Stegostoma tigrinum: one gene and its partners. The protein of the gene in region 4 purifies or fractionates together with the protein of the main gene of each other region. This does not show direct contact. Links are inferred from orthologs where the notes say so. Each region holds a gene or a part of one and is shown on either strand. Other genes may lie near its edges. The genes, in order: upf1, ncbp3, upf2 and rbm8a.

Region 1 (7,636 bases), on a different chromosome or scaffold from region 4:
TGTTTTGTGTCATCTTCGATAGCCAGAGACTTTTCCCCAGGGCAGGATTGACTGCCATGAGGGGTCATAGTTTTAAGGTGTTAGGGGAAAGGTATAGAGGAGACGTCAGAGGCAGGTTCTTCACCCAGAGAGTTGTGAGCGCGTGGAATAGTTTACCAGTGGTAGTCATGGAAGCACAGTCATTAGTGACATTTAAGCGACTGCTGGACATGCACATGGACAGCAGTGAATTGAGGGGAATGTAGGTTAGTTTATTTTATTTTTGGATTAGGATTATTCCACGGCACAACATCATGGGCCGAAGGGCCTGTACTGTGCTGTACTTTTCTATGTTCTATGTTCTATCTACAAACTTGGAAATATTACATTTGGTCCCTATATTTGAATCGTTGATATAGATTGTGAAAAGCAGAGATCCATGCATTGATCCTTGAGGTACCCCAATAGACATTGCCAATTTGAGAGTGACCCACCTGTCTCTCCCTGCTCCTCATCTTCTTTTTACATACGTATAATAGCTTTACAATCCATGTTTATATTTCTTACTAGCTTATGTTCACAATTATTCCCTTTCTTTATCCATTAAAATTAATGAGAAAAATAATCACCAATTAAACAACTGCTGGTTTTCCTGTGTTATCCCATTTTGATTTTTTTTCCTCAACTCAGTCAGTCCACATTGCAGCCAGACTAAACTGGATTGGATGTTGCACCACGCTGTTCTGTTCACATTCTTGCCTCTCACGCTATTCATGCCGCCACCCTCACGCTGTTCACATCCACTCCACACCACGTCCCCCACACACTGGTCCTTTTCATTCACTGCAACCCCACTTTACCTCTGTTCCTGTCTAACCACTTGGCATTCACACCCTTCTACCTGAGTTAACATGATGTTTGACATGGCGGATCTCATGCAGGTGGTAGTGTTCCCAAGCATCTGCTGCCATTATCTTTCTATAAGTAATAGGGGGTGGGTTTCTAAGGTATTGTCAAAGAAGGCTTGGTGAGGTGTGGCAGTTCATCTTTCATTTGATTTGATTTATCGTTGTCGCATGTATCTAAGTGCAAAAGTTGTGAGTAGTACAGGTAAATGATAGCAAACAAGGATATACAGATCATAGACAGAACGAGGCATACAGGTTATGGCTGCACAGAAGGTGCAAAACCAAGGTCAAAACTAGCAAGATAATAAAATGTGAGGCTGGATGAACACAGCAGGCCAAGCAGCATCTCAGGAGCACAAAACTAGCAAGATCAACATTATTTGAAATTAGAGAGGTCCATTCAGCAGTCTAACAACTGCAGGGAAAAAGTTGTTCTTCGACTTGTTGATGTGTGTTCAAGCTTCAGTGTTTTAAATGGTACCAGTCAAGATTATGATGAAATATTCTCTGCTTACCTGGACAAATGTGGCTCCATCAACACTCCAGAAGTTTAACATCATTCAGGGCAAAGCAGCCTGCTTGACTGGCACCCAATCTGACACCTTCAATGTTCACTAGTGACATACCATCTACAGGGTGCACTTCAATAACTGACCAAAAGGTCCTTATTGAAGTGGGGAAACACTCAGCATTGGGTGAGGTTGCAGATGGCTTGGGGAATGCATTGTTCTAGAGGCTTTGATGCTGGGACAGACGTACTGAGAGGTAAGGTGTCAGTGAGACAGGAACACTGAGCCAAGGACATTTTTTTATTGCTTCATGGAATGTGGGCTTTGACTCTTAATTATCTGGCTGAAGACAGATTCTCGAGACCTTTTAACTATTGGTGGACAAAAAAGCAGACCCTGAATCCACCTCAGTTTCAACATGGATTCAATCCAACACTGTTGCTGGCTGATCTACATGTTAGTCATGTAGCCAACAGAATGAACCTGGGTGGGGGAGGAAAGGGAAATAGGGTGAAATTGTGTATGAGCGAGGGAGATGAGGGATTGATGTGGATGAGAGGGTGGTTGAGCAGGAATGATAGGGGTTTGAAGGTGCCCAAGAACTAATGAGCAGGGTGAGGGTTGGGTGAGAGCAGTGAGTGAGGTGATGGTGAAGGTGGCAGTTGGTGTGAAACAATAAATGGTGAGATTGGTCGGGTGTTGAGAGTGGTCAAGGGGATAGGAAGTATTGAATATGCAGGTGGAATGAGGGTTATTTGTTGTGTAGTTGGGGGTGTTTGGTGATTCGGTGAGTGAGATTGAAAGACTGGATTGGTAATGTGGAGGAATGAGGTTTGCAATGTTGGGGTGATGGATGACATAAGGCTGGGTGATGATCATGTGGGTGAGACTGAGGGGTTAGGGAGATAGATGAGAGAGGGATGATATTGGGGATATGGAGTAACTTAGTTTGAGAAACTTGGTCAACATGGGTGTATTGTACTGAAGAATTTGTTTCCATGCTGTATGACTATGTTAAACATGTGGATGCCGGGATGTGAGTGCTGTTGGGGTGGATTACGTGAATCAGGTTAAGTGGGTGAGTGTGGGAGGAGGCTGGGATTTGGGATGATGAAAGGGGGCTAAGGTGGCTGTGGTTGAGTTGGGTGATAGAATGAGGTGTGTTTTGGGTTTGGGTGGGCTGTTTGAGGGAAGTGGGCATGTGGGTGGGCTGGATGTAGTGGAGAGGACTTGGGCTGTGTAAGGGGAAATAGAGGGGTAGCTTTGAGGTTGTAGGCATGAAATGATGGTGCTGTGGGGTATGTTGGTTTGTGTAAAGTGGGGAGTGGGATATTTGAGTGATGGGGAGAGGAGAGGCGGTTTAAGGGCCCTGGGTTATTGGGGATGGGTGTGAGTGGATTTAGAAGTCTGTTTGAGGGTGTTAGAGGACATGAGGAGTGGGAGTGTGAGGGGTCTGTGGGGGTTGGTGGGCTATGAGGAGTTAGGACGTGAGTGGTTGGAGTTGGTGGTGTGTGTCTAGGGAGTTTGGTGAAGTTTGAAGGGGTGTGAACTATGTGGGTGTGAGGGCACCAGTGGGTGTGAGGTGATGAAGTAGGTGGGTTGTGAAGAGATTGTTGGCATATGATAATAAGGGATGTGGGGGGACTGGGGTTGGAAGTGTGAGGGGGTGGGATAACAGGGGGTTAGTGGGGTGATAATAGATGTTGCTGTTGGGGTAGGTGTGGGCTGGTGGTAAGGTTGTTGCGGTGGTTAACATTGTGGAGTGGGAGTGCAGGAAGGTGGGTATATGTGAGGGTAGACAGTTACTGGTCTGTGAGGGGGTTGGTGGTAATAGAGTGCTGGATAGTGGATGTAAGGGGGAGGAGGAGGGGTGGAGATGGGGGTTATAAAGGCATTGGGGGTTGGAAGTGGTGATGGTGGGGACGGTGGTTATGATCTGAGGATGTGGTGATGGTGGGTCCAGGGCTGGGGATAATAGAGTGAGTGTGGAAATGGTGATGCTGGGGGTTAAGGGTGAGGATTGGAGATGGTGGGGATGAGGGTGGGGAGGGGACAGGGTGGTGAGAGTGAGGGTTGGCATGGAGCAGGGTGGTGAGGGTGAGGGTGGGCATGGGACAGGGTGGTGGGGTTGAGGATGGGGCAGGGTGGTGGGGGTGAGGATGGGGATTGGACAGGGTGGTGGGGGTGAGGGTGGGGATGGGACAGGGTGGTGGGGATGAGGGTGGGCATGGGGCAGGGTGGTGGGGGTGAGGGTGGGGATGGGACAGGGTGGTAGGGGTGAGGGTGGGCATGGGGATGGGGCAAGATGATGGGGGTGAGGGTGGGGATGGGGCAAGATGGTGGGGGTGAGGGTAGGCATGGGGCAGGGTGGTTGGGGCGAGAGTGGGGATGGGACAGGGTGGTGGGGCTGAGGGTGGGGATGGGGTTGGGGCAGGGCTGAGGATAATAGGGTGAGTGTGGGAATGGTGATGGTGGGGGTTAAGGGTGAGGATTGGGGATGGTGGGGGTGAGGGTGGGGATGGGACAGGGTGATGGGGGTGAAGCGGGGATGGGGCAGGGTTGTGGGGGTGAGGGTGGTGATGGGGCAGGGTGGGGGGGTGAGGGTGGGGATGGGGAAGGGTGGTTATGGGGCAGGGTGGTGAGGGAGAGGGTGGGGATGGGGCAGGGAGGGGGGTGAGGGTGGGGATGGGGCAGGGTGGGGGGGTGAGGGTGGGGATGGGGAAGGGTGGTGATGGGGCAGGGTGGTGAGGGAGAGGGTGGGGATGGGGCAGGGAGGGGGGTGAGGGTGGGGATGGGGCAGGGTGGGGGGGTGAGGGTGGGGATGGGGCAGGGTGGGGGGGTGAGGGTGGGGATGGGGAAGGCTGGTGATGGGGCAGGGTGGTGAGGGAGAGGGTGGGGATGGGGCAGGGAGGGGGGTGAGGGTGGGGATGGGGCAGGGAGGGGGGTGAGGGTGGGGATGGGGCAGGGTGGGGGGGTGAGGGTGGGGATGGGGAAGGCTGGTGATGGGGCAGGGTGGTGAGGGAGAGGGTGGGGATGGGGCAGGGTGGTGGGGTGGGGCTGAGGGTGGGCATACTGCGTGTGGGAGGGAAGATTGGGTTTGTGGGTGTCGGGGTAAATTTCTCCCGCCCACTCACTTAGCGCCGCTCTCCTGTGGATTACGGCATCGCTTCTTGCTGGCGATGACGTCACCACAGGTCCGGGCGCAATGACGTTTCTGCGTGCGTCACGACGCTGTGTGCACTACGTCAGCGCTGCGGGGGAGTTGCGGCTCTCGCTGGGTTTCTCGGGCCGCTGCCGAGCGATCGATTCCCGAACCCGCGCCTACCGGCCCTTTCGCTGCCCGGCTCCCCGCCGAGTAGGCTCAGCCAAGGCCCGGCCTCGCTTCGCTTCTTCTCATCCGCCCGGCGCGTGCTGCGCAGCGGTTGTTCCCAGGGTTTTGAATCGCGCCGGGGGCGAGTGCGCGCTCCCGAGCCGTGGCCGCCATGAGTGTGGACGCGTACGGGCCGAGCTCTCAGACTCTCACCTTCCTAGACACGGAGGAGGCCGAGCTGCTTGGGGCCGATACGCAGGGCTCCGAGTTCGAGTTCACCGACTTCACTTTACCGTCACAAACACAAACACAAGGCCAGAGCCAAGGGCCCATCGAAGGCCAGGTAAGGAGCGACGGGGCTTCCCGCACTTCCCCCCCCCCCCCCGCAAGGAAAACACGCCAGTCCCAGGCCGCGCGGCCTAAACACAGGATGTACGAACTAGCCCCCTTCCCCACTCGAGCCTACTTTTCCGTGCGGGCTCTGAGTGTAGTCCCTCGTTGCTGCTTCAGCTTCGGCTGTCGGGTTTGTCGGCTAGGACCCACATGGAGGGCAGGAAGCGGAGGCGAGAGGTGGCGAAGGCTGGGCCTTCAAAGGCCCGATTTTTTTTGTGGTGGGTGGGTGTGGGGGTAGTCACTCTTGCTGTCTCCCTGTGTCCCTTCCCTTTCCCCCCACCCGAGCCACACTACCTTCACTCCCGACAGACCTGATATGTCCTTCCTCTTCTCCCCACCCTGTGCAGTACCCCGATGGCACTTAATGCTAGTGGAAGCTGTAATAGATACGATGGGAATATACGGAGTGAGGAGCTGTTGAAGTGTTGGTTGGAGGGAGTAGTGCAAGTGGGCTGCTGGTCTGAGAGAAGGTTGTTGGAATTAAGGGAATGAGGCTGGAGCTCCCTGATATGCTAGATCGATTTTTGTGTTTTGTGTGTAAGTGCTGATGTGAAAATACACAGGATTCTCCACATTCTGATTTCCCTGCTGCTGCTTCTCAACTTCATGAAAATAAGCCCCAATTCAACTGAACTCCTGTTGCCAGCTCCATTGGGTTCATTTTAGTTGACATATGCAACCTGAGGCTTTGGGACAATGATAATTTGGTGAAGTGAAGACCCTCCACCTAACCACCCAAAAGCAGATATCAGGTTGCCACTGTTTTGGAAGTGAGAGAAAACTTGCAAAATACCTGTTCTTGTTTAAAAGTGACAGTTGGTTGCATCAGCAGCAGGAATAAGTGCAATAAAATTCCATGTAAAGATTCTGAGTGACCCACCTTTGGTATTAGAGTATTACTACTCTACAGTGGCCTGAGAGAATAGGCATTGTATAATCCAGAGACGATGAAAATTGCAATAAGTGCAGGTAGGAAGACAAGTTAGATGTTTTGACTTCAACAAGAATTATTGGACTTGTGGGTGAATCATGTATTTGTAGTTTAGTTGTTTTGGCCATTAGAACTTGTGAAGTTGTTGAGGTCAGAGTAAGTCCCCATATACTCGGTCCTCAAAACATCAGGGGTAAAACAACTGAGGGAACAGTTGTGTGGATTTCTAGCGTGGGGTATATTTAGAATTCTTAAAGTTCAGTTGAAGTGGTCGTATGTTTCTCAAAGCTCATGAAAACACCACACTACATTTTATAAGCTAAGTATTTATTTGAACATTATAGTTGAGCCAAAATTACAGTTTGAACCATTTCAATATTGTATTGATGTACCGTGATGCTGGGGTAGTAAATAATGGGCTTGGATTTGAGGCAAGTACTGAATGCTGTTTGTTGTTCTGATGTACTGTCATACCTGTCAAACATTTAATCTCACTGGAAAAATAGCATGTTGAAGGAGCTATGACTTGCATTTAACCACACACCTAAGACAGAGGGTAATGACCAGCATTGCAGCTGTGTGTATTTGTATGTAAATGTACAATATAGAACAGTATAACAGAGGAACAGGCTCTCTGGCCCACAATATTCTGCCAACCATGCTGCTGTCATTAACAAATCCCATCTGCCTGCACAAAGTTCATATTCTGTTATTCATGTGACTGCCTAAATGGTGCTTAAATGTTGCTATCGCATATCCTTCTGTTACCTACTTTGGCAGCGCATTTTGGGTACCTGCCACCTTTTTATAAAAACATTTATTTCGCACCTATCCTTTTAAACTTTCCTCCCTCACCTTAAACCTGTGCGTCCCAGTATTTGACATCCGAATCCTGGGGAAAAAAGACTCTGAGGATTCACTCTATCCATGACTTTCTAATTTTTATATACTTTTATCAAGCCATTGTTTTCCCCCTTCCTACAAAAACTTCGATCCTAACAAAAACAGTTTGTCCTGACCCGAAACGTCAACTTTCCTCTTCTCTGATAATGCTTAGCCTGCTGTGTTCCTCCAGCTCCAAACTGTTATCTCTTGACTTCAGTATCTGCAGTTCTTACTATCTCTGAGTTAAGTTTGGCCAGTCTCTCCTTATACCTAATATACACCAGTCCAGGCAACATCCTGGTAAACCCCTTTTTGCATACTTTCCAAATTCTCAACAGCAATCCTTTTGTGTGGTGACTAAAATTGTGCGCAGTACTCTAAATGTGTGTGTAAGAAGCAGTATAATGCTTCATTAGAAACTTTTTAATTTTGATTCTATGGTTGCAGTTTAGGTTAAGGTGTGCTTATGGACATGTTTTATGTTTGACTGGCAATATGGCAGGGGGCACGTAACCATGTCCAATGAATTATTGTGGGGGGAAAAAAAACTCAGGTTGGTTGTGATGCTTCAAGCTGTTTAAGATATATTCTGTCAGCACAGTCCTGACTCAAAACGTCAACGTTTGTACTACTCTTTTGCCTGGCCTGCTGTGTTCCTCCAGTTCTAAACTGTTGTTATCTCTATCCAGTAACATGGTGTTTTTGGTGACCTCTGCTGGTC
Region 2 (7,926 bases), on a different chromosome or scaffold from region 4:
CCGAGACTCAAAGATCTGAGCAAAGGTAAGCATTCTAAATCCCTTAACAACCCCGTCTACAAAAAGAACATGAAGGAGCGCTAGTGGATATAAAAATATGAAGGTTCAAAAATTGGCTTTATACTGGCTTATCTTTCATTTCTTTACATGTTTGTTAGGGAAACTCTGGGAGTAAACTGGAATCAGGGTATGGATACAAAGGAGAAGGCAATGAGCATTAAAAGCATTAACACACAAGGACATACTAGCCCTGGAGCGTGTCCAGCGGAGATTCACATGGATGATCCCTGGAATGGTAGGTTTAACGAATGATGAACGGCTAAGGATCCTGGGATTGTACTCATTAGAGTTTAGAAGGTTGAGGGGAGATCTAATAGAAACTTACAAGATAATGTATGGCTTAGAAGGGGTGGACGCTAGGAAGTTGTTTCCGTAGGTGGGGAGACTAGGACCCATGGGCACAGCCTTAAAATTAGAGGGGGTAAATTTAAAACTGAAATGAGACGACATTTCTTCAGCCAGAGAGTGGTGGCCTTGTGGAATTCATTGCCACAGAGTGCAGTGGAGGCCGGAACATTGGATGCCTTCAAGGCAGAGATCGACAAATTCTTGATCTCAAAAGGAATCAAGGGCTGCAGGGAGAGTGCAGGGAAGTGGTGTTGAAATGGCCATCAGCCATGATTTAAATGGCGGAGTGGACCTGATGGGCCGAATGGCTTTACTTCCACTTCTATGTCTTATGGTCTTAAGTTGCTGGATGTAATAAAACCAAGGTGTCTTGTAACTTGGCAGATGAGTACAGAGTTTTAAACTATTCCCAGTAATCAGCAATAACTTACATCTACCTTCAGTTACTGCTCCAAAACATCACAAGGAACTTCATATGAGCATTACAAAATACAAGTATGACACTGAGCCACAAAGAGATAGCAGGTCAGAACTGTGGTCAAAGGCAGTTTTAACAGGCATCTTAAAGAGGAACAGAATGAAGCTGAGGGATTTAAGGAGAAAGTTACGGAGCTCAGAGCGCAGGTAGCTGAAGGTACAGCAGCCAATGAGGGAGGGATTGAACTCAGGACGTTCCCAGTCGAGGCCAAAACTGCAGGAGCAGAGATCTTGGAGCTGTGTGGTGCTGAGGGAAATCGTACAGATGATGAGAGGCAAAGCCACGGATGAGTTCACAAAGGAGGATGAAAATTTTGAAAACGCACTGCTGCTCGAACACGAGCCAATGCAGGTCAGACAGTGTGGGATACAAGGGGTCAGTGCTTGGTGGGAGTTAATCAACCTTGATTTCTGAGTTGTCAACAGATCAAAACATGATTTGAAGTCCCTCTGATGGAGAGATCATCAGCTTGGGAACCAACACCATAAAGTCACCAGCAGCACCCAGACAACATTACACTTACCAAACTAAACACTTTTCAACAATCTCCACCCAAAACAGGAGCTCAGTTTGGCATATTTTAAAGTAGCCAATGCCTCAGCTCATGCCCAGATAGCCACCACAGCCCCAGCCAATCAGCATTACAAAACCAGAAGATAAAAACATGACAACAGAACAGAGTAAAATTAGCTATTTCCACAATTTCATTGCGAGGGTGAAGCTGCTGTTGCAACGCACGATACGCAGAGTGTCCACAAATCCACATCCCAAACTGCCAGTGCGAAAATCCCCAGAAAAAGTGCTCATCCGGAGCGAGGCCACTGAGAATTTCACCGGAAAAGTTATTATTTGTCTCACTCAGTCAAAACAGAGGCTTCGGAGGGGACAGCGCCCACTCCCTCAGCACTGACCCTCCGACAGTGCCCACTCCCTCAGCACTGACCCTCCGACAGTGCCCACTCCCTCAGCACTGACCGTCCGACAGTGCCCACTCCCTCAGCACTGACCCTCCGACAGTGCCCACTCCCTCAGCACTGACCCTCCGACAGTGCCCACTCCCTCAGCACTGACCCTCCGACAGTGCCCACTCCCTCAGCACTGACCCCCCGACAGTGCCCACTCCCTCAGCACTGACCCTCCGACAGTGAGGCGCTCCCTCAGCACTGACCCTCCGACAGTGCCCACTCCCTCAGCACTGACCCTCCGACAGTGCCCACTCCCTCAGCACTGACCCTCCGACAGTGCCCGCTCCCTCAGCACTGACCCTCCGACAGTGCCCGCTCCCTCAGCACTGACCCTCCGACAGTGCCCGCTCCCTCAGCACTGACCCTCCGACAGTGCCCACTCCCTCAGCACTGACCCTCCGACAGTGCCCACTCCCTCAGCACTGACCCTCCGACAGTGCCCACTCCCTCAGCACTGACCCTCCGACAGTGCCCACTCCCTCAGCACTGACCCTCCGACAGTGCCCGCTCCCTCAGCACTGACCCTCCGACAGTGCCCACTCCCTCAGCACTGACCCTCCGACAGTGCCCGCTCCCTCAGCACTGACCCTCCGACAGTGCCCACTCCCTCAGCACTGACCCTCCGACAGTGCCCACTCCCTCAGCACTGACCCTCCGACAGTGCCCACTCCCTCAGCACTGACCCTCCGACAGTGCCCACTCCCTCAGCACTGACCCTCCAACAGTGCCCGCTCCCTCAGCACTGACCCTCCGACAGTGCCCGCTCCCTCAGCACTGACCCTCCGACAGTGCCCTCTCCCTCAGCACTGACCCTCCGACAGTGCCCGCTCCCTCAGCACTGACCCTGTCCTTCCCTCCTCACTCTAACCTCTCCGAGGCCTTTGTGATTCCCGCCCCCCCCCCAAACCCGGGCCCGAGGCCTGGGCCTCTCCTCACCGGGATCAGGTCCTTGAGCGACCTCCGCACTGAGATGGTGTCCAGCCTCTCGGGCTCGATCTCCCCCTCCTCCACCTCCATGGGCTCGTCATCCCTCTCGGTGCTGGCGGCCCCCTCTGCCCCAGGCCCAGGCTCCAAACAGACCCGCAGGCCCCGCACCGCCGCCATGACAAACAAGGAGTCGCCGAGGGAAAGGCAAGAGGTGCCACCTGCCGCCACGGCCGGCGTACCATCCAATGCTGAGGAGTGCAACGCGCGGCAAGAGATTACTCAGCTCGCCGTAGTTTGCAGTGAGCGGATCGCAGCGCCTCCCTGCGGCCTGGAGAGTAACTGCCCCCTCCAGCTGGAATGTCAAATCAATCAAGTGCCACCCTTTGCCCCATGAGTTGGCACTGAGCCTGACCCAAGCTTCCATCAGGACAGTTTCCCAATCCAACACTCTCCAAACTTTCACTGCCCATGATTAGTGCCCTTTTCAAGCCATCCAAAACCTCAGCCACCTGGCATTATTCCTGAATTGTCTAGTGGGATGTGGGCATTGCTGGCTGGCCCCAGCATTTATTGCCCATCCCTAGTTGCCCGTTGAGATGGTGCTGGTGAGCTGCCTTTTTTAATGACTGCCGTCAATGTGCTGTGGGCTGACACAACACACAATGTTATTAGGGAGTGAATTCCAGGATTTTGACCCAACAACTGTGAAGAAACAGCGATATATATCCAAGACAAATGGTGAGTAGCTTGGAGGCGAGCTTTCAGACGGTAGTGTTCCCATGCATCTCCTACCCTTAAGCTTCTAGATTGGTCATGGTCATACATTTTGAAAGTCTTGTCGAAAGATCTATAAATGATGAGATTTTTCTCAAGATCATGAAGGTTTGCAATTGTGGGAAGGTATGGAATTGAGCTGGACAAGTTTCCTGAATATTGAACCCTGACAAAGAAGGACATTGGCTTCTGCTTGAGGACAGTGGAGCTGAATCAGTAATAAGGCTGGCCACAGAAGGTCAAGGGGGCACTCGGTGGTGGTCTATAAGATTGAGGGGTGTGAATAGAATGAATAGAAAGCAGATATAATGCAGCATGGAGCTAGAGGAACACAGCAGGCCAGGCAGCATCAGAAGAGCAGGAAAGTTGACATTTCGAGCCCCATTTGAAGGGTCCCAACCCAATAGACCAACTTTCTTAGATAACAAGGTGTGGAGCTGGATGAACACAGCAGGCCAAGCAGCATCTTAGGAGCAGGAAAGCTGACGTTTTGGGCATGGACCCTTCTACAGTTCCCATTATCTCAAGTCAACTTTCCTGCTCCTCTGATGCTGCCTGGCCTGCTGTGTTCCTCCAGCTCCACCTGTGTTTTCACTGACTCCAGCATCGGCAGTTTTTACTATCTCTGAATGAATAGAAAGTAGGGTTGAAAGGTCGACAATGAGGATGCATAATTATAAAGTTACACACAAGGGGCTTTGAGGTGATTTGAGGAAAACCTTTTCACCCAGAGGATGGTGCGGGACTGGAAAGCACTTTGGGAGGGTAGTTGAGGTGGAAGTTCAAACCTTTAAAAACTACATGAATGAGCAGTTGAAATATCATTGCATTCAAAGTTATAGGCCTAGTATAGGTTGTAGCAAATTTTTGATGGGCCAAAGAGCCTCTTCTGTACTGGATGATTCTATGAGGTAAAACCAAATTCTAGCAGAATGGTGTGAATCCTGTCAGGAGTATTCACAGACATCTTCAACCTCTCTACTGTGATCTGAAGTCCCAACCTGCTTTAAGAAGACTGCCATCATCTCAGTGCCAAAGAAAACTGGTGCAGCATGCCCCAATGACTCCTGGTTGGTGCTCTGACATTGGTAATTATGAAGCTGGACATAGCTTAAATTACCTCTAGCCTCCCCCATGTAATCTTGATCCCTTGTAGATGGCCTACTGGTGCAACTCTCCAAGGCAGACTGTGAATACTGGAACATTTGGACAAGGAGGGATACCCAGGACAAGCTTCTTATTGATTACAGCTCTGCCTTCCAACACCATAATTCCAAACAAACTCCTCTCCAAACTCCAGGTCCAAGGTGTCTGCTCTTCCCTCTGTAACTGGATTCTCAACTTGCTGACCAACGGACTGCAGTTAGTAAGCAGAGCTGACCATCCTCAAAACTGCTGCCCTGTAAGGGTGTGTACTCAGCCCCCTACTATACTGAGACACACACTTGTGTGGCCAGATTCCACACCAAATCCTTTTATAAGTTTGCCGATGACGCCACCATTATAGGTGGAATTGGGAACAGTGATGCAAAGAAGTACAAGCAGGAGGTAAAGTGTTTAATGGCGTGGTGTAAAGTCAAGACTCTGTACATCAGTGTCTGCAAAACAAAGGAGCTGGTCATTGACTTCAGGAAGCAGAGTGGAGGGCATGCCTCTGTTTGCATATGGTTGAAAGCATCAAGTTCCATCAGTGTGTCCTGGTCCATCCGTGTTGATGCTTTTTGGTGAAGAAAGCACAGCAAAGCCTGTACTTCCTGAGGAGGCTAGGGAAATTCACCACGTCTATAAAGACACCTTACCAGTTTGCGTTGCTGCACCACATTGAGCATCCTAAGTGGATGCAATCTGGTATGGCAACTCCTCTTCCCGAAACCACCAGGAACTACAGTCCACGGTGCAAACCAGCCTCCCATCCACGGACTCCATCAATACTTTTCACTGCCTCGGGAAGGCAACTGGCATAAACAAAGGTCATCTCACCCCGGTTATACCTCCTACCCTTTTCTGTCGGGCAGAAGACATAAAAGTTTGTACACGTGTACCAACAGATTGAAGAACAGCTCCTTCCCTGCTTTTATCAGATTTTTGAAGAAGACTTATGAAATATTGATATTGATCTCTCTCCGCACTTTCCCTGTGGCAGTAACACTATCCTGCACTCTTGTACGGCTACCCTGATGCCTGCAGAGCATACAAAACAATACTTTTCACTGTATCTCAGTACATGTGATGATAACAAATCAATCAAAATGCTGCCTGAGGATCTTTGGTGAATTTCTGCAGTACATCTTAGGGATGGTACACACTGCTGCTACTGAGTGTCGGTGGCGGGGGGAGTGGGTGTTTGTGGGTGTGAGGCCAATCAAGCGGTTGCTTTGTCCTGGAGGGTGCCAAGCTTCTTGAGTGTTTTTAGATTAGATTAGATTCCCTCCAGTGTGGAAACAGGCCCTTCGGCCCAACAAGTCCACACTGCCCCTTGAAGAGCGTCCCACCCAGACCCATCCCCTATAACCCACACACCCCTGAACACTACGGGCAATTTCCCATGGCCAATCCACCTAGCCTGCACATCTTTGGGCTGTTGGAGGAAACCGGAGCACCCGGAGGAAAACCACGCAGACACGGGGAGAATGTGCAAACTCCACACACAGACAGTCGCCTGATGCTGGAATCGAACCTGAGTCCCTGGCGTTGTGAGGCTGCAGTGCTAACCACTGAGCCACCGTGCCACCCTGTGTTGTTGGAGCTGCCCCAATCCAGGGAACGTGGGGAGTATTCCATCGCATTCCTGACTTCATCCTGTACAGGACTTCACCTTTAGCACAGACACAAAGCTGGGAGGCCTGGGATGGTTATCGGCTGCATCCCGAGAGACCTCCTTCAGCTCAGGGGCCCCTGGCACAGTAAAGGCTTGGATAGCTTCTGGTGCCAGGCTGAGGGCTTTAGAGATGTTTGGTCATCCAGCCGGGGTGGTCAGGGTCAGGATCAGGATACAGGCCAGACAGCCAAACAGCTGTCCAGGCTGTGTCCGATCGTGGCTGTCTGGACTGAGGGACTGGCATCGATAAAGGGAGATGTGTTGGATGGCTTATACTGCTGGCGCAGTGAGAGGTGGAGTCTTCGGTGCAGCGGGCATACAGCGTGAGTGGTGCCAGGGGCCAGACTCGGTTGACAGCAAGATTGAGTGAGTGTGAGGTGTCAGGGAGAAGGTAGAGGTGCTGACCCTGGTGGAGTAAGAAGGACATTCCTACAGCACAGGCCATACCCACGATGCCTGAGACTGCACTGACCCTGTGCAGGGGTAATGGCCTGTTATCGAGGCATGAGGCTTCAAACCTCCTGTCATGGGGTTTTGTTAGGAATTTTTGGGGTGTACTGGGGGAATGTTTCGGGTGTATTCGTGGAGTGTGTGGGATGTGTTCAGGGGAATGTTTGGGGTTTATTGTGGGAATGTTTGGGGTTTATTGTGGGAATGTTTGGGGTGTATTGGGGTGGTGTTTGGGGTGTATTTGGGGGAGTGTTTGGGGTGTAATTGGGGGAGTGTTTGGGGTGTATTTGGGGGAGTGTTTAAGGTTTATTCGAGAGTGTTTGGGTGTACTGGGGGGAGTGTGTGGGGTTTATTAGGGAGTGTTTGGGGTGTATTTGGGGGAGTGTTTAAGGTTTATTCGAGAGTGTTTGGGTGTACTGGGGGGAGTGTTTGGGGTTTATTTGGGAGTGGGGTGTATTGGGGGACTGTTTGGGGTGTATTGGGGGAGTGTTTGAGGTGTACTGGGGGAGTGTTTAGGGTATATTTGGGGGAGTGTTCAGGGTTTATTTGGGAGTGTTTGGGGTATATTTGGGGGAGTGTTTAAGGTTTATTCGAGAGTGTTTGGTGTGTACTGGGGGGAGTGTTTGGGGTTTATTCGGGAGTGTTTGGGGTATATTTGGGGGAGTGTTTGGGGTTTATTTGGGATTGTTGGGGGTATATTTGGGGGAGTGTTTAAGGTTTATTCGAGGTGTTTGGGTGTACTGGGGGGACTGTTTGGGGTGTATTGGGGGAGTGTTTGGGGTGTACTGGAGGAGTGTTTAGGGTATATTTGGGGGATTGTTTAGGGTATATTTGGCAGTGTTCGGAGTGTATTTGGGGGAGTGCTTAGGGTTTATTTGGGAGTGGGGTGTATTGGGGGAGTGTTTGGGATGTATTGGGGAGTGTTTGGGGTGTATTTGGGGGAGTGTTTGGGGTGTATTGGGGAGTGTTTGGGGTGTATTTCAGGAGTGTTTGGGGTGTATTGGGGGAGTGTTTGGGGTGTATTTGGGGGAGTGTTTGGGGTGTATTGGGGAGCGTTTGGCGTGTATTTGGGGAGTGTTTGGGGTGTATTGGAGGAGGGTTTGGGG
Region 3 (7,213 bases), on a different chromosome or scaffold from region 4:
AGGCAGAGACAGGTTGGACTGGTTTTGGGATGCAGTGGGTGGGGGGGAAGAGCTGGGCTGGTTGTGTGGTGCAGTGGGGGGAGGGGACGAACTAGGCTGGTTTAGGGATGCAGTAGGGGAAGGGGAGATTTTGAAACTGGTGAAGTCCACATTGATACCATTAGGCTGCAGGGTTCCCAGGCGGAATATGAGTTGCTGTTCCTGCAACCTTCGGGTGGCATCATTGTGGCAGTGCAGGAGGCCCATGATGGACATGTCATCTAAAGAATGGGAGGGGGAGTGGAAATGGTTTGCGACTGGGAGGTGCAGTTGTTTGTTGCGAACTGAGCGGAGGTGTTCTGCAAAGCGGTCTCCAAGCCTCCGCTTGGTTTCCCCAATGTAGAGGAAGCCGCACCGGGTACAATGGATGCAGTATACCACATTGGCAGATGTGCAGGTGAACCTTTGCTTAATGTGGAAAGTCATCTTGGGGCCTGGGATAGGGGTGAGGGAGGAGGTGTGGGGGCAAGTGTAGCATTTCCTGCGGTTGCAGGGGAAGGTGCCGGGTGTGGTGGGGTTGGAGGGCAGTGTGGAGCGAACAAGGGAGTCACGGAGAGAGTGGTCTCTCCGGAAAGCAGACAGGGGTGGGGATGGAAAAATGTCTTGGGTGGTGGGGTCGGATTGTAAATGGCGAAAGTGTCGGAGGATGATGCGTTGTATCCGGAGGTTGGTAGGGTGGTGTGTGAGAACGAGGGGGATCCTCTTAGGGCGGTTGTGGCGGGGGCGGGGTGTGAGGGATGTGTTGCGGGAAATACAGGAGACGCGGTCAAGGGCGTTCTCGATCACTGTGGGGGGAAAGTTGCGGTCCTTAAAGAACTTGGACATCTGGGATGTGCGGGAGTGGAATGTCTTATCGTGGGAGCAGATGCGGCGGAGGCGGAGGAATTGGGAATAGGGGATGGAATTTTTGCAGGAGGGTGGGTGGGAGGAGGTGTATTCTAGGTCCACTGTGGGAGTCGGTGGGCTTGAAATGGACATCAGTTACAAGCTGGTTGCCTGAGATGGAGACTGAGAGGTCCAGGAAGGTGAGGGATGTGCTGGAGATGGCCCAGGTGAACTGAAGGTTGGGGTGGAAGGTGTTGGTGAAGTGGATGAACTGTTCGAGCTCCTCTGGGGAGCAAGAGGCGGCGCCGATACAGTCATCAATGTACCGGAGGAAGAGGTGGAGTTTGGGGCCTGTGTACGTGCGGAAGAGGGACTGTTCCACGTAACCTACAAAGAGGCAGGCATAGCTGGGGCCCATGGCCACCCCCTTAGTCTGTAGGAAGTGGGAGGAGTCAAAAGAGAAGTTGTTGAGGGTGAGGACGAGTTCAGCTAGGCGGATAAGAGTGTCGGTGGAGGGGGACTGGTCGGGCCTGCGGGACTCCTCCCACTGCAGCCTAATGGTATCAATGTGGACTTCACCAGTTTCAAAATCTCCCCTTCCCCTACTGCATCCCTAAACCAGCCCAGTTCGTCCCCTCCCCCCACTGCACCACACAACCAGCCCAGCTCTTCCCCCCCACCCACTGCGTCCCAAAACCAGTCCAACCTGTCTCTGCCTCCCTAACCGGTTCTTCCTCTCACCCATCCCTTCCTCCCACCCCAAGCCGCACCCCCATTTACCTACTAACCTCATCCCACCTCCTTGACCTGTCCGTCTTCCCTGGACTGACCTATCCCCTCCCTACCTCCCCACCTATACTCTCTCCACCTATCTTCTTTACTCTCCATCTTCGGTCCGCCTCCCCCTCTCTCCCTATTTATTCCAGTTCCCTCTCCCCATCCCCCTCTCTGATGAAGGGTCTAGGCCCGAAACGTCAGCTTTTGTGCTCCTGAGATGCTGCTTGGCCTGCTGTGTTCATCCAGCCTCACATTTTATTATCTTGGAATTCTCCAGCATCTGCAGTTCCCATTATCTCAGGTGTCCAAATGCTTTGTCAAAGATTTGATTTTAACAGAGGAAAGAGAAACAGAGGAGTTAAAAGGAGGAATCCTAGTGCCAAGAACCAGTTGAAGGCATGATTGTCAATGGGAAAGTAGTTAAAATCAGGGTTACTTAATAGGCCAGAAGTGGAGAGTCAGGGCTGCAGAACTGGAAGAAATTTTGGAGAAATGGAAGAGCTTGATCACGGAGGAATTTGAAATTCATGACTGGAACTTTAAAACTGCGGCAATGCTTGACTAAAAGCCTGTCAGTTGAGCTTCTCTCCTCCCCTCTCACACTCCCTTGCCCCTCATACATACCTTACCCCTCCTCTCACCCTCCTTCACAACTACTGCCTCTACCCTTACATCTGCCTATCAAAACACCTCCCCCGATGCTATGAGGCAGCATGGTGGCTCAGTGGTTAGCACTGCAGCCTCACAGCGCCAGGGACCCAGGTTTGATTCCCGCCTCGGGCGACTGTCCATGTGGAGTTTGCACATTCTCCCCGTATCTGCGTGGGTTTCCTCTGGGTGCTCCGGTTTCCTCCCACAGTCCAAAGATGCGCAGGCTAGGTGGATTGGCCATGCTAAATTGCCCGTAGTGTTCAGGGGTGTGTGGGTTATAGGGGGATGGGTCTGGGTGGGATGCTTCAAGGGACGGTGTGGGCTCATTGGGCCGAAGGGCCTGTTTCCACACTGTAGGGAATCTAATCTAATCTAATCTAACTTCTGCTCTCCTACGCTAAACTGTCTTCCTCCTTCACATCCCGTCCCACCTCACTCTCTCCCTCCCTAATTCATCACTAATTCCCGTTTCTCCATGCTGCTGCCCAAGTCCCCCTCCCCCAATTGCCTAACACCTCTGCAGTCCTCATTCCCACTAGCCTGCTCCAGCCACACACTCTCTCCTCCACTTCCCCTCACAATATCCTAGACCTCTCACTCTCCTCCTAATCTCCTCCCTATCACTCAACTCCACTCCTTCTGCACTACCTCCCATTCCACCATCCCAATAACACACACCCCCTCATCCTCCTACCACCTCCTGTATCTTCCTTATCACTTACAGCCCTCCCCCACCATCTCCCCCTCCCCTCCAACCTTCCTGCTTCCCCTTCATCTTCTCCATCTACCTTCTATCTCATCCTATCCTCTCCCTTCACCTGCCCCTCCCCTATCCACCCATCTGCCCTGCATTGTCTTATCTTCCTCCCATACTCATCCTCCCCTCAGTCCACGCATTCCAACCCCTCCCTTCCATCCCCCACACCATCTCCATCCTCCCTTCCACCCCCTATCCTATCCTGTTCCCCCCACCCCCCTATCCTATTCCCACGCCCCCGTCCCTATCTCCCCCTATCCTATTCCCACCCCCCGGTCAATATACCCCTATTCTATTCCCACCATCCTATTCCCACCATCTTATTCCCTTCCTGGTTCCTATTCCCACCATTGAATTACCCCTGGTCCCTATTCCCCCTGTCCTATTGTTCCCCCTATCTTATTGCCCTGGTCCCTAATGCCCCCTATCTTATTGCCCTGGTCCCTATTGCCCCCCTGGTGTCTATTGCCCCCTGTCCCTAATGCCCCCTATCTTATTGCCCTGGTCCCTATTGCCCCCCTGGTGTCTATTGCCCCCTGTCCCTAATGCCCCCTATCTTATTGCCCTGGTCCCTATTGCCCCCCTGGTGTCTAATGCCCCCTGTCCCTAATGCCCCCTATCTTATTGCCCTGGTCCCTATTGCCCCCCTGGTGTCTAATGCCCCCTGTCCCTAATGCCCCCTATCTTATTGCCCTGGTCCCTATTGCCCCCCTGGTGTCTAATGCCCCCTGTCCCTAATGCCCCCTATCTTATTGCCCTGGTCCCAATTGCCCCCCCTATTTTATTACCCCCAGTCCCTATTGCCCCCCCATCCTATTGCCCTGGTCCCTATTGCCCCCAGTCCCTAATGCCCCCTATCTTATTGCCCTGGTCCCTATTGCCCCCCTGGTGTCTAATGCCCCCTGTCCCTAATGCCCCCTATCTTATTGCCCTGGTCCCAATTGCCCCCCTATTTTATTACCCCCAGTCCCTATTGCCCCCCCATCCTATTGCCCTGGTCCCTATTGCCCCCAGTCCCTATTGCCCCCCTGGTGTCTATTACCCCCGCTCCCTATTGCCCTCCTCTGCGCCCCCCCCGCGTCTGGCAGATGCTGGGGGGGGGGGGCGGAGTCAGGGGGCTTCCCTGACGCCTCTAGCCCTATTGAGCGCCTGTCTCTCGTGGAGAGAGATAGAGAGAGAAATCAAACGGCGGCGGCTGTCTATCGCCAGTGAGCCTGACATCCTGCTGCCGCCCCCCCTCGATGCGATACGAGCAGCAGCCTATGTTTTTGTCGTGACCGTGCGCAGGTGCTGGTCAGGCGGCTGTCGGGTCAGGCCGTGCAGGCGGGGTCCTGATACTGGGGCGGTGGGGGGAGGGGAGGCGGAGGTTGGTGTCAGTTCCGCCGCTGTCGGCTCTCCGTGTGCCCGCTTCGAACTGCAGCCTGGCCCGTTCCCTATCACCCGGGACACCTCCGGGAGCCGGTAACTGCGCCTTTCCGCAGCGGGACACCCGGCTCTGTGCGATCTCTCTCTGTCTCTCTCTCTGTGACTTTCCGCTGCCAGTGGCTGTGGCCCCCGGGGCCTGTGCCATCCGTCACCCGGAGCCAGGGCTCTCACCAAATCACCGTCTCTCCCCCCCCCCCCCAACAACCCACCACCCAGCTCCAGGTGTGCGTGGGGTTCCTCTCCCCTCTCCACTTTTCCTTGCCCTCTTTTCCCCCTTGCCCTCTTTTCCCCCTTGCCCTCTTTTCCCCCTTGCCCTCTTTTCCCCCTTGCCCTCTTTGCCCCCTTGCCCTCTTTGCCCCCTTGCCCCCTTGCCCTCTTTGCCCCCTTGCCCCCTTGCCCTCTTTGCCCCCTTGCCCTCTTTGCCCCCTTGCCCTCTTTGCCCCCTTGCCCTCTTTGCCCCCTTGCCCTCTTTGCCCCCTTGCCCTCTTTGCCCCCTTGCCCTCTTTTCCCCCTTGCCCTCTTTGCCCTCTTTGCCCTTTGCCCCCTTTGCCCCCTTTGCCCTCTTTTGCCCCCTTTACCCTTTCTCCTCTCCCCTCCCTCACTTCCCAATCTCTATCCACTGGATTTGGGAAGACCTGCCCTCAATTTCTAAGTTTCCCACTGCATCCCATCACACTCAACCTGAATAGTTATTTTGATATTGACTCCTTCCTCTTCATTCTAGATTTTTCCAGGGTAATACCATTGCCCTTTGCTCATCTACAGTGTGTTTAATCAATGCTGTGGTTAATGGACTTTCAAAAGTATGGGGAAATGTCGTATTTTCTGATCACAATATCTGACCCCCTCACCTTCATTTTTATATCACCCACAATTTGAATGGCCTTATTCTGCTCCAAAGCTTATGGTCTCTAAACAGAAACTGACCCATTTTGAAGCCATTGGTATTGGGTTTTGGGTCCAGTGCAACTTGTTTATGTTATAGTATTTTGCAGTAAATATTTAGGTAATAAACACATCCTGTGTTTCCTGTTTATTATAGAATGGAGAGGTGTCAAATGAAACCAACTATTGAGTGTTGTTCACTAAAATCACATACAGAACTGCTAATGCTGGAGATAAGGTTTGGGAGCATCTGTGAAAAGAAAACAAGGTTAATCTTTCAAGGGTCGCAAGACTCAAAAGTTAACCCTGTTTTTCTCTTTGCGATGCTGGACCTCCTGAGTTATTCCAGCGATTTGTTTTCTTTGCCTTTGTATTCTTCACCATCGTTTTAATGTAATGTTATGACTGGTATGGGATTTTGAAGTAAAAACATAAGGGATGTTTAAATGAGCTGATTTTAACTTTTAAATTCTAATATAATGGGAAATTTTATTGAAAATGTAATGTTGATAGATATATATGGTGAGCTATATACATTGTTCCTTAAGCAAATTAGTATTACTATTTATTTTAGTCTACTTATAATATTTTGTATTCAAAAGATACTTGTGTTGAGGAAACCATGCATTAATTTTTCTATTAAAGTAGGATAACAATTTGATTTTGGAGCATGAATTTCTTTGAATTAAACAAAAGTGACATAATGTCTTGTCCTTGCAGAATTGTGGTGAGCTACACTGAGGCAGCCATTTTACCTACTCAGTTCCTTCTGAGACTAATCTTATGACTTGACGGATACGCTGGTATAAGGTAGGATTTGATACCACAGTAGTTGAGAGAACAGAAGTTGTTTTCAACTGGAATTGACACCTGCGGTAGTTGTGACCTTGTATTTCCTTGCACAACATCACTGGCTTGATAGTTGGTTAAAAAATGTGAAGAATCCCATTTGTTTTTAGAGTCTCAGAATTTATAAAGCTGGGACGGCTAATCATCAAGTTGTGCTGACTGTAGGAGCTTGCCAACTGTTCAGTTTCTTTGCGTACTTTAAATGCTTTCCCCATCTCTTTCAAATGTCAGCATGGGTTCGGGTTCTGCACTGTTTCTGGTCAAACATTCTATTCCCTTATAATTCTCTGTCTAAAGTAGTCCTCCTGACCACCTTTGTTTTATTTGTGAAGATCTTGAAATTGATGCTTTTATGTTGAAACTCACCAACCAATGGAAATTATTCCCAGTCCTCCACTCAAGACCTTGTTGACTTCTGTGTGTCCTATTCTTGGTTAATATTCTCTAGTTTTTTTTGTGAGACTTTTTAAAACCACAGTATATTTAGGTGTTGTTATTATAGGATGAAAAAATCCAAGAACTGGAATGGTTTCAAAATTTGGTTCTTTGCATCATCATCACAATGAAACAATTTTACTAAATTATAGCAACCAGAATCAGCAGACCTTGCTGCCTTTGATCTGTTTGTTCAGAGGCCAATTTTAATATACCTAGAAATGATTTTTGTCAAAGCTTGTGCTCGAAAACATATTACTGATTTCATAATGTGCATAAATGTGATCTTGCCTGTTTCCATATATGGTGACAATGATATGACCTGTACATCGAAATTAAACTGCATTTTATAATTTTAGAGTGCACTGGACTCCCCTGGATTTGACAACAGGCAATTGTTACCTGATGAAGTGTGCCTAGTTTACTGGAATGTGGTGTTAAACACTTGAAGCTTTCTACCTTCTCCTGGTAAGTTATCTTCCAGATCAGATTCAGTCCTTGGGTTGACCTCACAGTTAGGATGGCAAAGTTAGCCGTCACAACAATGTTTCTCATGTGTTTAGCGCAATT
Region 4 (7,948 bases):
CTGCACTCCTTCCATAACCAGGAAGTCCTTCCTGAGATACAGAGGCCACACTGCACCCAATACTCCAGATGTAGTTTCACCAAGGCCATGTACAACTGCAGCAAGACATCCCTCCTGTACTTGAATCCTCTTGCTATGAAGGCCATCACACCATTTGCCTCTTTCGCTGCCTGTTGTTCCTGAAATGCTTACTTTCAGCGACGAGTGCAAAAGGCCATCCAGTTCTTCTCACACCTCCCCCCTTCGTCATCTATCACAATTCGGAGAATACATTATCTCCCACCCTGTTTTTGCTGCCAGAGTGCATAGCCTCAGATTTATCTCGATTACATTTCATCGCTCAAGCATCTCCCACTCACTCAATGCTGTCCTAATCACACTGAAGCATCTCCGCATCCTCCTCACAGTTCACCTTCCCAACTTGCTTTGTCTCATCTGCAGGCTACAGATGTTACATTTTATTCCTTTACCCAAATCATTAATATATATTGTGAAAAACTGCAGTCCAAGCACCGAACCTTATCACACATCACTGCTTGCCACTTGAAAAAAAAACTCAATTATTCCTGCTCCTTGCTTGCTGTCTGCCATTCAGTTCTCCATTCATATCAGTACATGCCCCCAATTCCAGGCACTTTAATTTTACATGCTAATCTCTTATACGGGATCTTATTGAAAGCTTTCCAAAAATCCAACTAAACTTGGAGAAGGGATATTTGCTCGTGTTACTATTGGGACGCTTTAAACTAGAATGGAGGAAGGGTGGGAGGATCCTAAGCACTAGCAACAAAACAAATGATGGCCGAGGATGGCTGGAATTAGAGGAAGCGAGTTAAATAGAAAGACAGGCAAAAGCACAGCAGAGAATGGGGTAAAGCAGATGAATCAAACTGTATTTACTTCATGATCAAATCTCATTGGAACAGTATCGGGGGATCAACTCACATTGGGACAGGGTCAGGGCGGATTGATTCCCATAGGGACATGGTCACGTGATGGACTCTCTTTCAGAAAATCGGGAATTAATTCCCATTGGGACAGGATCAGGGTGAATTGACTCTCATAGACAGAGGGTCAGGTGCATCAATTCCCTTTTAGGGTTGGGGTGAAACGGCTCTTTGGGATACAGTTGAAAGATCAAGTCTCATTGGGACAGTGTGGAGGGGATCGAGTCTCATTGGGAGAGTATGGGAGGGATAGATTCTCATAAGGACAAGGTCAGGGGTATTGGCTCTCATTGGACAGTGTTGGGGGGGTCAACTGTCTTTGGGATGAGTCTAGGGGATCAAGTGTCAACCAAAGAGGGTCAGAGGATTGAAGATAACAAAGTGTGGAGCTGGATGAACACAGCAGGCCAAGCAGCATCTCAGGAGCACAAAAGCTGACGTTTCGGGCCTCGACCCTTCGTCGAAACATCAGCTTTTGTGCTCCTGAGATGCTGCTTGGCCTTCTGTGTTCATCCAGCTCCACACTTTGTTATCTTGGATTCTCCAGCATCTGCAGTTCCCATTATCACAGGGTCAGAGGATTGATTCACATTGGGGTAGTGTGGAGGGATTAAGGCTCTCAATGGGACAGGGTCAGGGGGACTGAGTCTCATTGGGACAGTGTGCGCATAAGAGTGTGGGGGGGGGTGATCGAGTCTCACTGGGTCAGTGTGGGAGGGATCGAGTCTCACTGGGACAGTGTGGGGGGGGGAAGAGATTGAGCCTAACTGGGACAGGATCGGGGGATCGAGTCTCATTGGGAGAGGGTCAGGGAGATGGAGGCTTGCTGGGCAGTGTGCGCGCATGTGTGTGGGGGAATCGAGTCTCACTGGGAAAATGTGAGGGGACAGATTGAGTCTCATTGGGACAGGGTCGGGGGATCGAGTCTCATTGGGACACTGTGAGGGGAGAGATCGAGTCTCATTGGGACAGGGTCAGGGGGATCAAGTCTCATTGGGATACTGCGAGGGGAGATACCGAGTCTCATTGGGGCAGTGTGGGGAGGGGTCGAGTCTCATTGGGACAGGGTCAGGAGATCGAGTCTCATTAGGACCGGGTCAGGGGATCGAGTCTCATTAGGACAGGGTCGAGTCTCATTGGGACAGCGTGAGGAGAGAGATCGCGTCTCATTGGGAGCGAGGGGAGAAGGAGTCTCATTGGGACAGGGTCCATAAGACCATAAGACATAGGAGTGGAAGTAAGGCCATTCGGCCCATCAGCCATTTAAATCATGGCTGATGGGCATTTCAACTCCACGTACTTGCACTCTCCCCGTGGCCCTTGATTCCTTGTGGCACCAAGAATTTGTCGATCTCTGCCTTGAAGGCATCCAACGTCAGGGAGATCAAGTCTCATTGGGACAGTCTGAGGGGGGGATGGAGTCTCATTGGGACAGTGTGGGGGGGGATGGAGTCTCATTGGGACAGTGTGGGGGGGGAATGGAGTCTCATTGGGACAGTGTGGGGGGGGAATGGAGTCTCATTGGGACAGTGTGGGGGGGGATGGAGTCTCATTGGGACAGTGTGGGGGGGGGATGGAGTCTCATTGGGACAGTGTGGGGGGGGAATGGAGTCTCATTGGGACAGTGTGGGGGGGGGATGGAGTCTCATTGGGACAGTGTGGGGGGGGAATGGAGTCTCATTGGGACAGTGTGGGGGGGGATGGAGTCTCATTGGGACAGTGTGGGGGGGGGATGGAGTCTCATTGGGACAGTGTGGGGGGGGGGATGGAGTCTCATTGGGACAGTGTGGGGGGGGATGGAGTCTCATTGGGACAGTGTGGGGGGGTGGACTCAGGCGGAAGGGGGAGCGGGGCAGGGCCGGTATGAATCCGGAGTCTTTGGCTGTCGGTGACACTGCGGAGGAGCGGGAAGGTGTTTTATTTACCGTCACCCTCATCGTCCATGGCGAAGTCCTCGCCTCCCGCCTCATGAAGATCCAACACGTCCGCCATCTTGCCGCCGCAATGGATTCTGGGGAGGGGGCGGGGAGGTGCGGTGTTCTATGGGGGTGGGGCACTGACGTTGTTTCCGGTAGGCGTGCATGACGCGATGGCGTTGACGCCGATGCCGACGCCTGCGCGTTGAGGCTTTGGTTCCCACGACCTTGTCCAGACCCAAGATGGCGTTGAGGATGGGTTAGTCCACACTAATATGCTGCTCCACTTCAACTCAGTGAAGTATCAACTCCTCACATGGGCCAGGCTCACCACTAACACCCTCATCCGCTTAGCTTAACTTCTCCTCACCCTCAACAACTTCTCTTTCGATTCCTCCCACTTCCTACAGACTAAGGGGGTGGCCATGGGCACCCGCATGGGCCCCAGCTATGCCTGCCTCTTTGTAGGTTACGTGGAACTGTCCCTCTTCCGCACCTACACAGGCCCCAAATCCCACCTCTTCCTCCGTTACATTGATGACTGTGTCGGCGCCGCCTCTTGCTCCCCACAGGAGCTCAAACAGTTCATCCACTTCACCAACACCTTCCAGCCCAACCTTCAGTTCACCTGGGCCATCTCCAGCACATTCCTGGACCTCTCAGTCTCTATCTCAGGCAACCAGCTAGAAACTGATGTCCATTTCAAGCCCACCGACTCCCACAGCTACCTAGAATACACCTCCTCCCACCCACCCTCCTGCAAAAATTCCATCCCCTATTCCCAATTCCTCTGCCTCCGCCGCATCTGCTCCCAGGAATGAGGCATTCCACTCCTGCACATCCCAGATGTCCACGTTCTTCAAGGACCGTAACCTCCCCCCCGCAGTGGTTGAGAATGCCCTCGATCGTGTCCCCCGCATTTCCTGCAACTCATCCCTCACACCCCATCCCTGCAATAACAATCAAACAGAATACCCCTCGTCCTCATGTCCCACCCCACCAACCTCCGGATACAACGCATCATCCTCCGACACTTCCGCCATCTACAATCCGACCCCACCACCCAAGACATTTTTCCATCCCCACCCTTGTCTGCCTTCCGGAGAGACCGCTCTCTCCGCGACTCCCTTGTCTGCTCCACACTCCCCTCCAACCCTACCACACCTGGCACTTTTCCCTGCCACCGCGGCAAATGCTACACCTGCCCCCACACCTCACCCCCATCCCAGGCCCCAAGAAGACCTTCCACATCAAGCAGATGTTCACCTGTACATCTGCTAATATGGTGTACTGCATCCGCTGTACCCGTTGTGGCCTCCTCTACATCAGGGCAACCAAAACGAGGCTTGGGGACCACTTTGCAGAACACCTACGCTCGGTTCGCAATAAATCGCTGCACCTCCCAGTCGCAAACCACTTCAAGTCCCCTTCCCACTCTTCAGACAACATGTCCATCCTGGGCCTCCTGCAGTGCCAATAATGATGCCACCCGAAGGTTGCAGGAACAGAAATTCATATTCCGCTTCGGAACCTTGCAGCCCAATGGTATCAATGTGCATTTCACAAGCTTCAAAATCCCCCCCTCCCTAATGAACAGGAGTAGACCAATGGGGTGCTAGTTGGTCCAGTTCATTTGTACAGAACAGACCCGGACAATTGACTCATGACTGGCATCTCCTTGGGTTCTGTACTGGGTCTCACGTTGAGCCACAGAGATATACAGCGTGGAAACAGACCCTTCAGTCCAACCAGTCAGCCAGATGCCCATCAGATATCCTCAATTAATCTAATCCCATTTTCCACCACTTGGCCCACATCTCAGTAAATCCTTCCTATTTATTTTACTCATCCAGATGTCTTTTTAATGTTGTAATTGTATCAGCCTCCACCACTTCCTCTGGCAGCTTGTTCTGTCTACGCAACCACCCTCTGTGTGAAAATGTTGCCCCGCAGGTCCCTTTCAAATCTTCCCCCCTCTTACCTTAAACCTATGTCTCTCTAGTTTAGGACCACCCTACCCTGGTGGAAAGACCTTGAGTATTCAACCTATCCATGCCCCTCATGATTTTATAAACCTCTTTAAGATCATCCCTCCGTCTCCAGCCCCCCCTGGGAAAATAGCCCCAGCCTAAACAGCTTCTCCACATAGCTCGACCCTGGCAACATTCTTGTAAATCTTTTATGAACCCTAACATCTGACAGCTTTCCTCCAGCAGGGAGACGAGAATTGAATGCAGTATGACAAAAGTGGCCTAACCAATGTCCTGTACAGCTGCAACATGACCCTCCCAACTCCCTATACTCAACGCACTGACCCATAAAGGCAAGTGTGCCAAACAGCTTCTTCACCGCCCTGTCCACCTGCAACTCCACTTTCAAGGAGCTATGAACCTGCACTCCAAGGTCTCTTTGTTCAGCAACATGCCCCAGGACCTTATCATTAAGTGTACAACTCCTGCCTAGATTTCCCCTACCATAATACAACACCTTACATTTATCTAGATTAAATTCCATCTGCCAATCCTTGGCTGAGATGCTGTTTGCTTGCTTTTTGTTGGTTCTTGGTTTAAGTTTTATTTTAATCAGGATAAATTAAAGCCCAGGATCAGGGGGCCAGCACAAAAGAGTGAAATCACAGGTAAAATCATTGATTGGTGCTAGCTACTGATTTGACTATTATACATCACTTTCAGATAGAAGTTTTACAGGCAACAAACCCAAAGGGCAGCATGAAATATTTTTGAAAAATCAAATTAAAAACTAAGGTGCCAGGCCAGGTGATGTTTTATAATTGCATGCTGTGGAAGCTGGGGGATCTCAATGTCGCTAGTAATGACCACATTCTGAGGAACTCAGGCTCAGACTCATGGAGCTAGAGTCTGAGCTATGAACACTGCTACACATCAGGGAGGGGGATAAGATTTACCTGGATGCTGGAGGCAGTCACACCCCCTAGATTAACTACCTCAAATTCTTTCAAGGACAGAAGGGTATGCAATGGGTGAGACAGGTCAAGGGATCTGGGAGGTTGTGCTGAAGGAGCCTCAGCAGTTGAGCTTGTCCAACAAGTTTGAGATTCTTGCTCCCTGCATGTCAAGAGTGGGGGCTGTAGGGAAGATGAGCAAACTCGCACTACAGTACTGCAAGCCATTCAAGAAGGGCAAGAAAAGAGAAATTCAGTTTTAAACACAGATACGTATCATCAGGGGAATAGACACGGTTTTCTGTGGCCAGGATCGAGAGTCCTGAAGGCTCCGTTACCTGCCTGGTGCCCAGATTCAGGATTTCTCATCTGGGCTGCAGAGGAGGGGAAGGATCCTGTTGTCGTGGTCCACGTCGGTACCAACAATACAAGCAGAAAGTGGAAAGAGCTTCTGCTGAGGGAACATGAGCAGCTAGGGTCTAAATTAAAGCAGAACCAAAAAGGCAATCATCTCTGGATGACTACCTGAGCCATGAGCTAATTGGCACAGGGTCGACAAGATTAAAGAGTTAAACACGTGGCTGAAAGATTGGTGTGGGAAATATTGAATTCATGGGCCATTAGCACCAGTATTGGGAAGGAGGGAGCTGTTTCAATGGGATGGGCTCCACTTGAAGTATGGTGGTGGGGGAGCGAGGGAGGGATACTAAATTGTATGGAAAATTTTGGATAATCTTAAAGAGGGGAGGGCTCAACAGAGGTTATTAAACTTGCCAGAACAAGTAATAGGATGGAGAGTGTGGAATGGGCAGGAATCAAACTTCAGGCTCAGCAGGTAAGGGAACAAGTACAGTGAGGGTGTCAATGTAGGACTAAGAGTATTGTACATAAAATGCACACAATACATGAAACAAGCTACATGAGTTTGTAGTGCAGATTGAAAATGACAGGTAGAATGTTGTGGGTATCTCAGAGACGTGGGTGCAAACTAAATATCCAAGGATGCACATCCTATCAAAAGGACAAGCCGATGGGCAGTAGGGGTGAGGCTGCCTTGTTAGTAAGAAATTAAATTAAATTAAATTGGTACAGAAGAAGTGGTATAGAGTTGGGAGGCACAGAATCTGTATGGGTAGAACTTAGGAAAAGAGACCCTGATGGGAAATATTTTCAGGCTCCTGGCTGTAGTTAGTATGTGGGGACGCAAATAAGTAAGGAGATAGACAAGGTATGTAAGGAAGGCACTATTACAACAATCATGGGGGACTAAAATATGCGGGTGTGTGTGTGTGTGTGTGTGTGTGTCTGCGAGTCGCTGAGGGAGACGCATGTGAGTGTGTGTGTAAAACAAACTCATGCATGTGCGTCTGGAATGGCTGACCTGGAAGGCTGGATTGTAAGGGCAGGCTCCTCTCGGAAGTGGGCCAGGCCCAAACAGCGAAGCAAGCTTTCAACACAGAAAGGACACCCAGGAATCCAATAAAAATTTTATTTGATCAAATGGCTAGGTGCAAAGTAGTGAGCTATCAGTCACCATGTATCAAACATATAATACTGCTTTTTAATCTAAAACGCTGGCTTCGGTACAAGTTGTGTAGTGTATAAATTCAGCCAAGTCAGAAGTAATAAGTGGATCAGAGTGAGAGGTGACGAGGTCAGTCCTGTCAAAATTCCAGCAGAGAATAAGGCATGTCAGGATAGCCTGCAAAAATGGTGCAGATTGACAGCTCCAGTGATATTGTCAGAATTGCTTACATCTGGGTGTAAGGGCTTAGTGTATGTGATATTTGTCCGTGTGGGTCACTGTGGACAGGGTGATGCAGGAACAAGGAAAGTCATTTCACCCCTCAAATCTGCTCTGCCAGTCAACAAGATCATGGCTGATCTTCTATCTCAATGCTGCTATTCCACACTCTGCCCATAAAGCCTCCAGATCTTTAATCCCTGGAAAGCTATGGATCTCTGGCTTGAACCTGCTCAAAGGTCGAACCTCCTCAGCCCTCTGGGGATAAGAATTCCAAACACAGCCCCACAGAGTGAAGAAATTCTTCCACACCTCTTAAATGACCTGCTTGCATTCAGAGACCGTGTCCTCTGGTCTCAGGCACCCTGTCCCCAAAACCCACCCCTGACTGGTTCAATCATCTCAGTTGTAATGCTCT

Evidence for each region.
Region 1: the proteins of rbm8a (region 4) and upf1 purify together in Homo sapiens (co-immunoprecipitation; 7 studies listed by BioGRID and IntAct, with this or other methods). This does not show direct contact. The link is inferred for Stegostoma tigrinum from reciprocal best matches to the Homo sapiens genes RBM8A and UPF1.
Region 2: the proteins of rbm8a (region 4) and ncbp3 purify together in Homo sapiens (co-immunoprecipitation; 3 studies listed by BioGRID and IntAct, with this or other methods). This does not show direct contact. The link is inferred for Stegostoma tigrinum from reciprocal best matches to the Homo sapiens genes RBM8A and NCBP3.
Region 3: the proteins of rbm8a (region 4) and upf2 purify together in Homo sapiens (co-immunoprecipitation; 6 studies listed by BioGRID and IntAct, with this or other methods). This does not show direct contact. The link is inferred for Stegostoma tigrinum from reciprocal best matches to the Homo sapiens genes RBM8A and UPF2.

Annotation. Positions count from the first base shown.
Region 1 is NC_081383.1:306,489-314,124, forward strand, and holds the start of upf1 (regulator of nonsense transcripts 1), read left to right. Parts: upstream 1-4,628; 5' UTR 4,629-4,878; coding exon 4,879-5,049; intron 5,050-7,636. UniProt on the Homo sapiens protein: RNA-dependent helicase required for nonsense-mediated decay (NMD) of aberrant mRNAs containing premature stop codons and modulates the expression level of normal mRNAs.
Region 2 is NC_081380.1:46,787,972-46,795,897, reverse strand, and holds the start of ncbp3 (nuclear cap-binding protein subunit 3), read right to left. Parts: upstream 3,009-7,926; 5' UTR 2,956-3,008; coding exon 2,788-2,955; intron 1-2,787. UniProt on the Homo sapiens protein: Associates with NCBP1/CBP80 to form an alternative cap-binding complex (CBC) which plays a key role in mRNA export. NCBP3 serves as adapter protein linking the capped RNAs (m7GpppG-capped RNA) to NCBP1/CBP80.
Region 3 is NC_081378.1:5,626,412-5,633,624, forward strand, and holds the start of upf2 (regulator of nonsense transcripts 2), read left to right. Parts: upstream 1-4,200; 5' UTR 4,201-4,336; intron 4,337-4,392; exon of another isoform or gene 4,393-4,510; intron 4,511-6,079; 5' UTR 6,080-6,169; intron 6,170-7,002; 5' UTR 7,003-7,111; intron 7,112-7,213. UniProt on the Homo sapiens protein: Involved in nonsense-mediated decay (NMD) of mRNAs containing premature stop codons by associating with the nuclear exon junction complex (EJC).
Region 4 is NC_081400.1:7,593,237-7,601,184, forward strand, and holds the start of rbm8a (RNA-binding protein 8A), read right to left. Parts: upstream 3,008-7,948; 5' UTR 2,940-3,007; coding exon 2,873-2,939; intron 1-2,872.